Macaca mulatta: one gene and its partners. The protein of the gene in region 1 purifies or fractionates together with the protein of each later gene. This does not show direct contact. Links are inferred from orthologs where the notes say so. Each region holds a gene or a part of one and is shown in the gene's direction. Other genes may lie near its edges. The genes, in order: EIF4A3, SRSF1 and NCBP1.

What was found.
Region 2: the proteins of EIF4A3 (region 1) and SRSF1 fractionate together in Homo sapiens (co-fractionation; 4 studies listed by BioGRID and IntAct, with this or other methods). This does not show direct contact. The link is inferred for Macaca mulatta from reciprocal best matches to the Homo sapiens genes EIF4A3 and SRSF1.
Region 3: the proteins of EIF4A3 (region 1) and NCBP1 purify together in Homo sapiens (co-immunoprecipitation; 3 studies listed by BioGRID and IntAct, with this or other methods). This does not show direct contact. The link is inferred for Macaca mulatta from reciprocal best matches to the Homo sapiens genes EIF4A3 and NCBP1.

The regions. Positions count from the first base shown.
Region 1 is NC_133421.1:89,821,411-89,824,239, reverse strand, and holds the end of EIF4A3 (eukaryotic initiation factor 4A-III), read left to right. Parts: intron 1-195; coding exon 196-311; intron 312-1,190; coding exon 1,191-1,298; intron 1,299-1,394; coding exon 1,395-1,522; intron 1,523-2,014; coding exon 2,015-2,031; 3' UTR 2,032-2,249; downstream 2,250-2,829. UniProt on the Homo sapiens protein: ATP-dependent RNA helicase. Involved in pre-mRNA splicing as component of the spliceosome. Core component of the splicing-dependent multiprotein exon junction complex (EJC) deposited at splice junctions on mRNAs.
Region 2 is NC_133421.1:51,982,043-51,986,479, forward strand, and holds the start of SRSF1 (serine/arginine-rich splicing factor 1), read left to right. Parts: upstream 1-1,518; 5' UTR 1,519-1,721; coding exon 1,722-1,915; intron 1,916-2,323; coding exon 2,324-2,508; intron 2,509-2,875; coding exon 2,876-3,048; intron 3,049-3,231; exon of another isoform or gene 3,232-3,248; coding exon 3,249-3,443; 3' UTR 3,444-3,808; coding exon of another isoform or gene 3,809-3,847; 3' UTR 3,848-4,437. UniProt on the Homo sapiens protein: Plays a role in preventing exon skipping, ensuring the accuracy of splicing and regulating alternative splicing.
Region 3 is NC_133420.1:60,734,726-60,738,047, reverse strand, and holds part of NCBP1 (nuclear cap-binding protein subunit 1), read left to right. Parts: intron 1-1,135; coding exon 1,136-1,250; intron 1,251-3,215; coding exon 3,216-3,322. UniProt on the Homo sapiens protein: Component of the cap-binding complex (CBC), which binds cotranscriptionally to the 5'-cap of pre-mRNAs and is involved in various processes such as pre-mRNA splicing, translation regulation, nonsense-mediated mRNA decay, RNA-mediated gene silencing (RNAi) by microRNAs (miRNAs) and mRNA export.

The DNA.
Region 1 (2,829 bases):
AGAGGGTTTTGTGAGTGCACCCCAACATTTTCTGGGAAAAAGTTTGTGCATCCAGTTAGGATGATCCTGAGTTTTAAGAGCAGTTACTTTGAGAATATTGATACTGGTTCTGCAAATGATGGGGGTAAAATCCCGAATGCACATCTCTGGTTTGGTGTACGAACTTGCAGTAGCATCTGCTGATTGGATTTGTAGGTGGACTGGCTGACAGAAAAAATGAGAGAAGCCAACTTCACTGTGTCCTCAATGCACGGAGACATGCCCCAGAAAGAGCGGGAGTCCATCATGAAGGAGTTCCGGTCGGGCGCCAGGTGGGTCCGCTGTGCTGTGGCTCTGCCGGTCAGGGTTTGCTAGACTGTGTGCTAAGCACTTCATATGCACTGCCTGAGGCAGGCCCCAGAGCTGGGGAGATGACGAGCTCCTGCTCTGAAAGCTGAGGCCCTGGGTGAGCAGAAAACCTTCCAGTTAATGAGACGTTCGCTGTGTTCCTGTAATACTTCGGTTGAGGTGATAATGATCCTTAACTAGCCAGGTTGGCACTTTGGTTACAAGTGTGTGTCTTCTTTCCAGTAAGTACGGGTTTTCTGTTCATCGTTTCAATTAGTTTAATTCCACAGTGGTCAGGTATCTTCTCACTGCAACCTCTGCCTCCTGGTTTCAAGTGATTCCCGTGCCTCAGCCTTCTGAGTAGCTGGAATGGCTTTTTTTTTTTTTTTGCATTTTTAGTAGAGACGGGGTTTCACCTTGTTGGCCAGGCTGGTCACGAACTCCTGACCTCAGGTGATCCGTCCACCTCAGCCTCTGGCAGTGCTGGGATTACAGGTATGAGCTGCCACTCCCAGCCAAAGATACTGTTCTTAATTTGTTGCTAGGCAAAAGTAAAATATTTTTCCCAATTAATTGGTTTAGAACCGACGAAACAAGTTAAAGGTAGTGTAGTAAAAGATGTCTGTTTTTTTAATCTGATGGAGCACATGACCGAAGTAACTAAATCCAGCAACAGCCCCTCTGCACAGGGATTTCTGGTGCTGTCCCTGAGGCTTCATGTTTGCAGACAGACTGGTGTGAGGGGGAATCTCATATCTTTTGAACTTGTAGCCAGGATTCCTCAAAATTAGCAATGGAAGCAAGTCCAGTCTTAAACTTGCATGAGTAATTTAATCGCCTCAAACACACTTTCTGTTTTGCAGCCGAGTGCTTATTTCTACAGACGTCTGGGCCAGGGGGTTGGATGTCCCTCAGGTGTCCCTCATCATCAACTATGATCTCCCCAATAACAGAGAATTGTACATACACAGGTAGGATGCAAGCTCTCATTGACTTCACTTCTGTGACACATTTACTAAATCTTGATTGCTGTAGATACTGACTGTGATATTGTTTTATTCCTGAAGAATCGGGAGATCAGGTCGATACGGCCGGAAGGGGGTCGCCATTAACTTTGTGAAGAACGATGACATCCGCATCCTCAGAGATATCGAGCAGTACTATTCCACTCAGATCGATGAGATGCCTATGAACGGTAGGAAATCGTCCAGCTCTACTGGAATTGTAGAGAGAACTTCCCTATTCTTAGTTTGGGGCACTTGAGTTTGTTTTTTTGTTGTTGTGGTTTTTTTTTTGAGACGAAGTTTTGCTCTGTCAGCCAGGCTGGAGTACAGTGGCATGATTTTGGCTCACTGCAACCTCTGCCTCCTGGGTTCAAGCAATTCTCCTGCCTCAGCCTCCTGAGTAGCTGGGATTACAGATGCGTGCACCATAACCAGCTAATTTTTGTATTTTTAGTAGAGACGGGATTTCACCATGTTGGCCAGGCTGATCTTGAACTCCTAGCCTCAAGTGATCTGTCCACCTTGGCCTCCCAAAGTGCCAGGATTACAGGCGTGAGCCACTATGCCTGGCCTGTTTTTTGTTTTGAGAAGTCTCTTGTGAGATTTTAGTTAAATTTACGTTACAAATTTTCTTTTTTTTTTTTTTGTATTGTTCCTTAATCTGTTTCTTTCTTCACTTTCAGTTGCTGATCTGATCTGAAGCAGATCGAGGGGATGAGTGAAGACTGTTCACCTGTTCTGTACTCCTGTTTGGAAGTATTTAGGTCCAGCTTCTATTTAATGGGGTTTATATGGACTCTCTTCTCATAAACGGCCTCCTGTCTCCCTCCGAAGAGGATATGGGGATTCTGCTCTTTTCTTATTTACATGTAAATAATACATTGTTCTAAGTCTTTTTCATTAAAAATTTAAAACTTTTCCCATAAACTCTATATTTCTAAGATGCCACCAGCTTCTCTAGTAACTTACTGTGTAGTCTTGGGTCATTTCACTCACTTTTCTAATTTTTCTTTTTTTCTTGAGGAGTCTCCTTTTTTTTGAGAAGGAGTCTCCCTCTGTCGCCCAGGCTGGAGTGCAGTGGCGCGATCTCAGCTCACTGCAAGCTCCGCCTCCCGGGTTCACGTCATTCTCCTGCCTCAGCCTCCCAAGTAGCTGGGACTACAGGAGCCCGCCACCACGCCCGGCTAATTTTTTTGTATTTTCAGTAGAGACGGGGTTTCACCATGTTAGCCAGATGGTCTCAATCTCCTGACCTCGTGGTGCAGCCGCCTTGGCCTCCCAAATGCTGAGATTACAGGCGTGAGCCACCGCACCCGGCCCATCTCACTCACTTTTCTAATCTTTTTTTTTAATTTGAGAGAGTTTCATTGTTGATGAGTTTTGCTCTCCCGCCCAGGCTGGAGTGCAGTGGCACCATCACAACTCACTGCAGCCACAACCTCCTGGGCTCAGGCGATCCTCTCAGCTCAGCCTCCTGAGGAGCTGGGAGCACAGGTGC
Region 2 (4,437 bases), about 38 Mb from region 1:
TTTTAATAATGTTTTATGGTATCTCTGTAAATTGCCTCACATCCTTGCGGAGAGGGACTGCTGTAAATAACATGAAGAACATTATCCCTGAAATTCACGGTGTAGATCTGTTATCGCAAATTTATGACTGCAGGATTTGATTTTGTTGTTGTTTCCCCCTCCTTTTTTTTTTTTTTTTTTTTTTTTTTTTTTTAGGAGGAGTCTTACTCTGTAGCCCAGGCTGCAGCGCAATGGCGCGATCTCGGCTCACTGCAACCTCCACCTCCAGGGTTCTAGCGATTCTCCTGCCTCAGCCTCCCGAGTAGGCTGGATTACAGGCGCCCGCCACCAAGCCCGGCTAATTTTTTTTTTTTCAGTAGAGACGGGATTTCACCATGTTGGCCAGGCTGGTCTCGAACTCCTGACCTCAAGTGATCTGCCGCCTCTACCTCCCAAAGTGCTGGCGTGAGCCACCGCGCCCAGCCTAATTTTAATTTGAATTCATTAGCGACGTTTAAAAATCCCAGGATTTCACATAAAAATCCAGATTGCAGACGTCGAAAAAAAATGTAAAATGTTATCTCCCAATGTCGCAGGCAAATAAGATCACAGTCCTGAATAGCAACCGCGGTCTCTAGTGGACACGGCTCTCATCCATTTCGGTCCATTTTATTACCTGGGAGGACCGGTATTTTCAATTTCAGTAACTTTTAGAGGAAACTTTTGAAAAAAGGACTGCACACACGCACCTTTTCTTCCTTCTCGTTCTTTAAAAGGAAACAACAGAAACAATTCATTCTGCAGGCAATCTGCGCTAGTCCCACGGATAGGCGATTAACAAGAGATAAAGAGGTGTGGGTACCAGAAGCAGTACTGTTACCCCTTCTGGTTGGCGGGTACCACGTTGAAAGGTCGGGGTACGGGCCCACTGCGACTAGCACAAAGAGTGCTGAACTGAGCTATGCAAAGTTCTGACGAGAAGGTGGAATGGTTCTTAATGAAAAGGATTAAGGAATCTAAACCGGTTTCGCTAAATTAGACACATCTGTCTAAGCAGCCACAGCTTGTTCGCAGCAGGGGCGGGAAGACAAACCAACGCCCCAGCTCTCTATTCAGTCACCGGCAACTCAGCTCTGGACTAGACGCACTCTACGAAGATACCCGGGTTTCCGGAGCAACGGCCCGAGCCCTCCCCCTTTAGCCCCGCCTCCGAGTCTCTTTCCCGCCAAAGGCCGTTATCGCCGCAGAGCATGGTGGGACAAGGCTTTAGGCTAGGTTTCACCAAGTCCTTTGAAGGCGCCGAGTTGCTTTCAAAGCTCCTCATTCCTGGGGAAATTGACTATCCTTCAAGACTCGACCTGGATGACTAGCTCCTTTAACGAGAGTTCTTTATTTAACTTTTACCAAACGGCTGCTCACTCTATTCGCAAACCACCCCAAGCGGGGAACGCGGGGGACTTTTTTTCCCCCTTCGTGCGGAGGGTGACGTCGCGCGTGCGTGCGCGTGCGTTGCGCGTATCCCTCGCAGCACCCGTTGCGCTCCCGCGCGTGCGTGTTGGGATCGAATCGCTGTTTCCTTCCGCTTCTCTTCCTCTGTCTCCCCCCCATATCCGTGCGCCGAGCTGATAAAGGCGCCATTTTGGAGGGGCCGCGGGAGACGTGGTGCCGCTGCGGGCTCGCTCTGCGGTGCGCTAGGCTTGGTGGGAAGGCCTGTTCTCGAGTCCGCGCTTTTCGTCACCGCCATGTCGGGAGGTGGTGTGATTCGTGGCCCCGCAGGGAACAACGATTGCCGCATCTACGTGGGTAACTTACCTCCAGACATCCGAACCAAGGACATTGAGGACGTGTTCTACAAATACGGCGCTATCCGCGACATCGACCTCAAGAATCGCCGCGGGGGACCGCCCTTCGCCTTCGTTGAGTTCGAGGACCCGCGGTGAGGCGGCATGGGGCTTGCAGCCTTGAGGAAATAGGTCCGAGTAGTCGGGGAAGGCTCCAAGGCCTTAACATAGAGAACGGGGAAGCGGGGGCTCTTAGAGAGGTTGGGGCGAGACTGTATCGCCCATGCAGGAGTCGAGTAAGGAGCTGAGTTGGTGTGGCTTCTCTGGCGCCTCGCCTTGGACGTCCCCGGAGCCCATTCGCAGGCTGGAGCGGGAAACTGAGGCGCTGAGGGCTGGTGTAGTGGTTGGGAGCCTGGCGTGTTTCTGGGTGGGGGAGGGGCCATTCCTATTATGCGGCGCATGTGGGCTCTTCCACGTTGGGTGCGCATGTGCGGGGGGTTCCCGACTGAGCGAGCTTCTCCTCCTGGTCTTTCTCATGCCTTTTACTTTCTGCGATCCCGCAGAGACGCGGAAGACGCGGTGTATGGTCGCGACGGCTATGATTACGATGGGTACCGTCTGCGGGTGGAGTTTCCTCGAAGCGGCCGTGGAACAGGCCGAGGCGGCGGCGGGGGTGGAGGTGGCGGAGCTCCCCGAGGTCGCTATGGCCCCCCATCCAGGCGGTCTGAAAACAGAGTGGTTGTCTCTGGTGAGTGTACTTGGTTGTGTGGATTGATGTGAAGGGACGGAAGCTACCTAAAATTTTTGTCTTGCATGATCGGTTTAACAATTGCAAATTTTTCATGCTAGGTCTTAAATTGCTTTAGTTTTTGGGTGAATTTAATAAACGAGGATTGCTGCTGTGGTGATTTACCAAATTAGGTTGCGGTACTAGATACGAAGATCCGTTACAAATAATTTTGGACTCTGGATCCCAGAATCTTACCAGCTCTTTACCTGGTATCACTTAAGTACACCTATTAAGTATTTTAAAGTACTCTTTGTTCTAATGTACCTTACCAGCTTAACGTGAAATTTAAGATAATTGATACTAAGAAAAAAAATCACTTTTTCAGGACTGCCTCCAAGTGGAAGTTGGCAGGATTTAAAGGATCACATGCGTGAAGCAGGTGATGTATGTTATGCTGATGTTTACCGAGATGGCACTGGTGTCGTGGAGTTTGTACGGAAAGAAGATATGACCTATGCAGTTCGAAAACTGGATAACACTAAGTTTAGATCTCATGAGGTAGGTTATACGCTTATTCTTTTCTTTGACCAGAATTGGATACAGTGGTCTTAACAGTGGAATTTGAAGGTAAGAATTCAGGCAAGGGTGTCCAAGTAAATTGCCAGATTTCTGGTTGTAGTTGCATTGTATGCATTCAGCATGCCTGAAGATAGATGAAAGCTTAGATCTTTCAATGGAAAGTTCTGTCTATCCAATAGGGAGAAACTGCCTACATCCGGGTTAAAGTTGATGGGCCCAGAAGTCCAAGTTATGGAAGATCTCGATCTCGAAGCCGTAGTCGTAGCAGAAGCCGTAGCAGAAGCAACAGCAGGAGTCGCAGTTACTCCCCAAGGAGAAGCAGAGGATCACCACGCTATTCTCCCCGTCATAGCAGATCTCGCTCTCGTACATAAGATGATTGGTGACACTTTTTGTAGAACCCATGTTGTATACAGTTTTCCTTTATTCAGTACAATCTTTTCATTTTTTAATTCAAACTGTTTTGTTCAGAATGGGCTAAAGTGTTGAATTGCATTCTTGTAATATCCCCTTGCTCCTAACATCTACATTCCCCTCGTGTCTTCGATAAATTGTATTTTAAGTGATGTCATAGACAGGATTGTTTAAATTTAGTTAACTCCATACTCTTCAGACTGTGATATTGTGTAAATGTCTATTCTGCCCTGGTTTGTGTGAACTGGGATGTTGGGGGTGTTTGTGGTTATCTTACCTGGGGAAGTTCTTATGTTTATCTTGCTTTTCATGTGTCTTTCTGTAGACATATCTGAAGAGATGGATTAAGAATGCTTTGGATTAAGGATTGTGGAGCACATTTCAATCATTTTAGGATTGTCAAAAGGAGGATTGAGGAGGATCAGATCAATAATGGAGGCAATGGTATGACTCCAAGTGCTATTGTCACAGATGAAATTGGCAGTATTGACCTTATACTAAAAGGCAGGGGTTAAAAATGATTATATACGTTTTCCTTAAAACACTTGCAAACATTTTATTCAGTTATCTTTAGCTACAATTGCTTTGCTCTTTAAACCTTGGCAATTGTGGCAAAATTATATTGCCCATTTTGTAGCAACTTATTTTGCTCCCTTCCCCCCATTTTTGTTTTAATAGGGACTAATGTGGGAAGAACTGGCTAATTTGTCACAGTGCTTAGTTACAACTGTTAATGTGTGACCTGCTGTTGGTGTACATGTGGGTACAGGGTGTCTTTAAATCCAACAAGATAGAGTATAATATCAATACTGCTAAATCTGCATGTCCTCTGTGTGACTGATAGAGCGTTGCTATTTCATTTTTTTAAGACAAAATGAAAGCAAAATATAGAGTTCCAATGTATTGGTGTAGATAATCTAGTTGGGAATACTTTTAAGTCTCACCTTCCCCTTT
Region 3 (3,322 bases), on another chromosome or scaffold:
GATTGTTTTATTATCTTCCACTTAAACTATTATTTGGGTCAAAATTTGTAGAAGGAAGTACAGTTGACCCTTGAACAACATCAGGGGTTAGAGACACCGACTTCCCCCCACCTACCCCACCCCCACACAGTCAAAAATCTGCATGGAACTTTTAACTGCATGGAAAATTTAACTAGTAGCCTGTTGACCAGAAGCCTTAGTGATAACGTAGTCGATTAACACATATTTGTGTTGTGTTAATATTCTGTATTCTTACAATAAATCATAAGAGAGGAAACATCATTCATGAAGTGAGAGTGGATCATCATAAAGGTCTTCATCTTCATTATCTTCACATTGAGTAGGCTGAGGAAGAGGAGGCGTTGGTCTTGTTGTCTCAGGTGGAAGAAAACCCATGTGTAAATGGACCTGCACAGTTCGGACCTGTATTGTTCAAGAGCCAACTGTACTATTCTGTGCTGGGTTAGGAGACCTAGTTTATAGACACAAAAGTAGCTAAGAAGTTACTTTAAAAAAAAAAAAAAGAAAAGAAAAGAAACACTTATGCAACAAACATTTTGAAGCACCTACAAAGTGATCTTAGTATGTATTTGCTAGTAAGAAAGCTGACATATAATTATCTCATTCTTAGAGCCTATCAGTTGATACCTATTATCAACTAATGAGTTTCTTAAAGGTTCCAAGAGAATAATTGCCTGTGTGTGTGCTAAAGTGTAAATAGTGTAAAGCATGTACAATCAGTCTCAGGTCACCATTTTGAGAAAATTTCTACACATAGTGTTTACATTTAGGAGAGGAAAAATGTATTTCCATTTTTAATGTTAGTGTCCATCATAGTTTGCCATTTCAATTCAGTGAGTATATACCTCTAGTAAGGGATGGAAATAAGAAAAATGACTACACAGTACTGCCCTCAGGGGACTCACCTGAATCTAATGGGTGTGAAGATGGATATTTGCACAATTTACAATAAAAGACCAATTCATAAGTATTGCTGGAGAAATATGACTAATTCAGCCCAGAGGACAGAAGGCTGTATCAGCTGTTAAGAATGAATAGATCATAAAGGTTGAAAGGTTTTATTTTCTATAACCATAGCTTGACATACAATAACCAAATGCCATATTTCTTTAAGATTGTTCGTTTGGGAAATCTTGCACTCTACAATTCGTAAGATGAACAAACATGTCCTGAAGATCCAGAAAGAGCTGGAAGAAGCTAAAGAGAAACTTGCTAGGCAACACAAACGGGTAAGTTTTGTGTAAACTTGTAAATAGTTAAAGAAAATATACCAGAAACTCTGGAGAGGATTCAGAGTTCATTATTGTGATGGTATTTCATTTTTTTTCTGAGCCCAAATTAATGCAGAGCTGTTTGCAGAAGAGGAGGAGGGAGCAGGTAGTGTGTTGTGTGCTGTTACACTGCATGATGAACCAGTTCAGGAAGCCACAAACTTCACTTTCCATAGTTTACCATCTCTGGGTCAGCCTCATGTTTGCACAAGGGAAGTAGCAGAAGGGAAGAGGACACTTGTATTTCTATAGGAGTCTCTGGGGGAAGAGGGAGAAGACTATAGATACTTACACTTTCCCCATACTGTGAGGAGGAATGGGGCAGTCATTCCCAAGTTAACATAATACTTCTCGTAGTATTAATTTAGTATTTTAGCCATTTTGGAGGGAAGCCGTGAGTGACTTAACATGATACTCTTCCTTATGAAAGTATTTTCCAGTGTTATGTGTATTTATCATAGTAGAAGGTGAAAAAAAAAAGTTGAGTTTAGTGCCCTACAGGAACCTTTAGCAAGTTTGAGTACAAGTCTCCGTGTAGACATATATGTATACATATATGGATATAAACACAGACCTAAAATACTGTAAGGTAAATGGTGTCATCTCATTTTGTAGATGTTATAAAGTGAGACACAGAGAAGTTAAGTAGTAGAAGTTAAGTAAGACACAGAGAAGCTAGTAGGTTGCATAGCTGGTAAATGACCAGAGCTAGGTTCTGACACAAGTTTATCAGACTCCAGAGACTTTCTCTCATGCCACACTGTTTCTAGAAATGTGCTGTCCGACACAGTAGCTACTAGCTGCATGTGACTATTTTAGTTTAGTTAAAATTAAATACAATTTAAAATTCAGTTCTTTGGTCACACAACCATATTTCAGGTGCTCAGTAGTAACGTGTCGTTGCCGTCCTAACAGGCCGCACATATTTATATCATTGGCCCCATTGAAGAAAGGTCTATTAGGTAGTAGTGCTCTAGAACCTTACCTTTGAGTGGTGTTAGGAAAGGAGAGTCATGTACCCACGTGTCTAGAACATAAAGCAGACCTCATAAATAGGCTGTGTTTATAGAGAGAAAAGTAAGATTCTGTGAAATCGGAGAGCAGGGTTTTGATAATTTTGCTTAAAGCGGAGAGGAGGAGATCAGTAGCTGGGGCCTTAGCAGTTAAGTATTACCTCAAAGAATTGCCAGGCTTTCTAGATTCAGTGATGCCACTTCTTGCTGAAAGTACCTTGGTATGTAACACCTAGAGCCACGTTCTGGCTCTGCCACTTTCTGGCTGGGTGATGCTGGGAAAGTCATCTAACCTCTCAGCCTGTTCCTTTCTCTGTAAAATGGAAATAAACCATGCCTTGTTTTTCTTTTCCTTTAAAAAAAAAAAATTCTATAAACTCTTCAGAGTGAGCTGGAGGGGGGGAATTATTAAAGCTTTACGGGAGTGTATTGAGCCCATCATTGCCAGCAGAAAGTCTTAAATGGCCCACTTTGAATTATTTTATGTCGGCTGTAGCCATTTCTAAATTATAACAAGAATGAGCAGGCTTGGCCCGTAGGACTTGCTCAGTTTTTCTATATGGCCCATTAGGAGATTAATGATTAGCAGGCCGTCTCCCTGTTGTTACTGCTCAAATGGTCAAATAGTGATAAATTGTAGCCAAGTCCCCCATGTTGTTACCAAGACAAGTGCCACTAAATTTCCCTGGTCTAGATAAGAACCCATGGTATTTCTGAGTGAGAAGACAGTGTCTCTGAACCACAACAGGACTTTGAGGTATATGTGTGTGGGTGGCAGAGTGGGGGCTACTTTCACTGTAGAATATAAGTCTTAACATTTGGCCAGACACAATAAAATGCTTCCCCTGGAGGAGATTTAACACACTAGAATCAAAATGGTATTTTCCTTTTGTTCCTTTGCCTTCTGTAGCGAAGTGATGATGATGACAGAAGCAGTGACAGGAAAGATGGGGTTCTTGAGGAACAAATAGAAAGACTTCAAGAAAAAGTGGAATCTGCTCAGAGTGAACAAAAGAA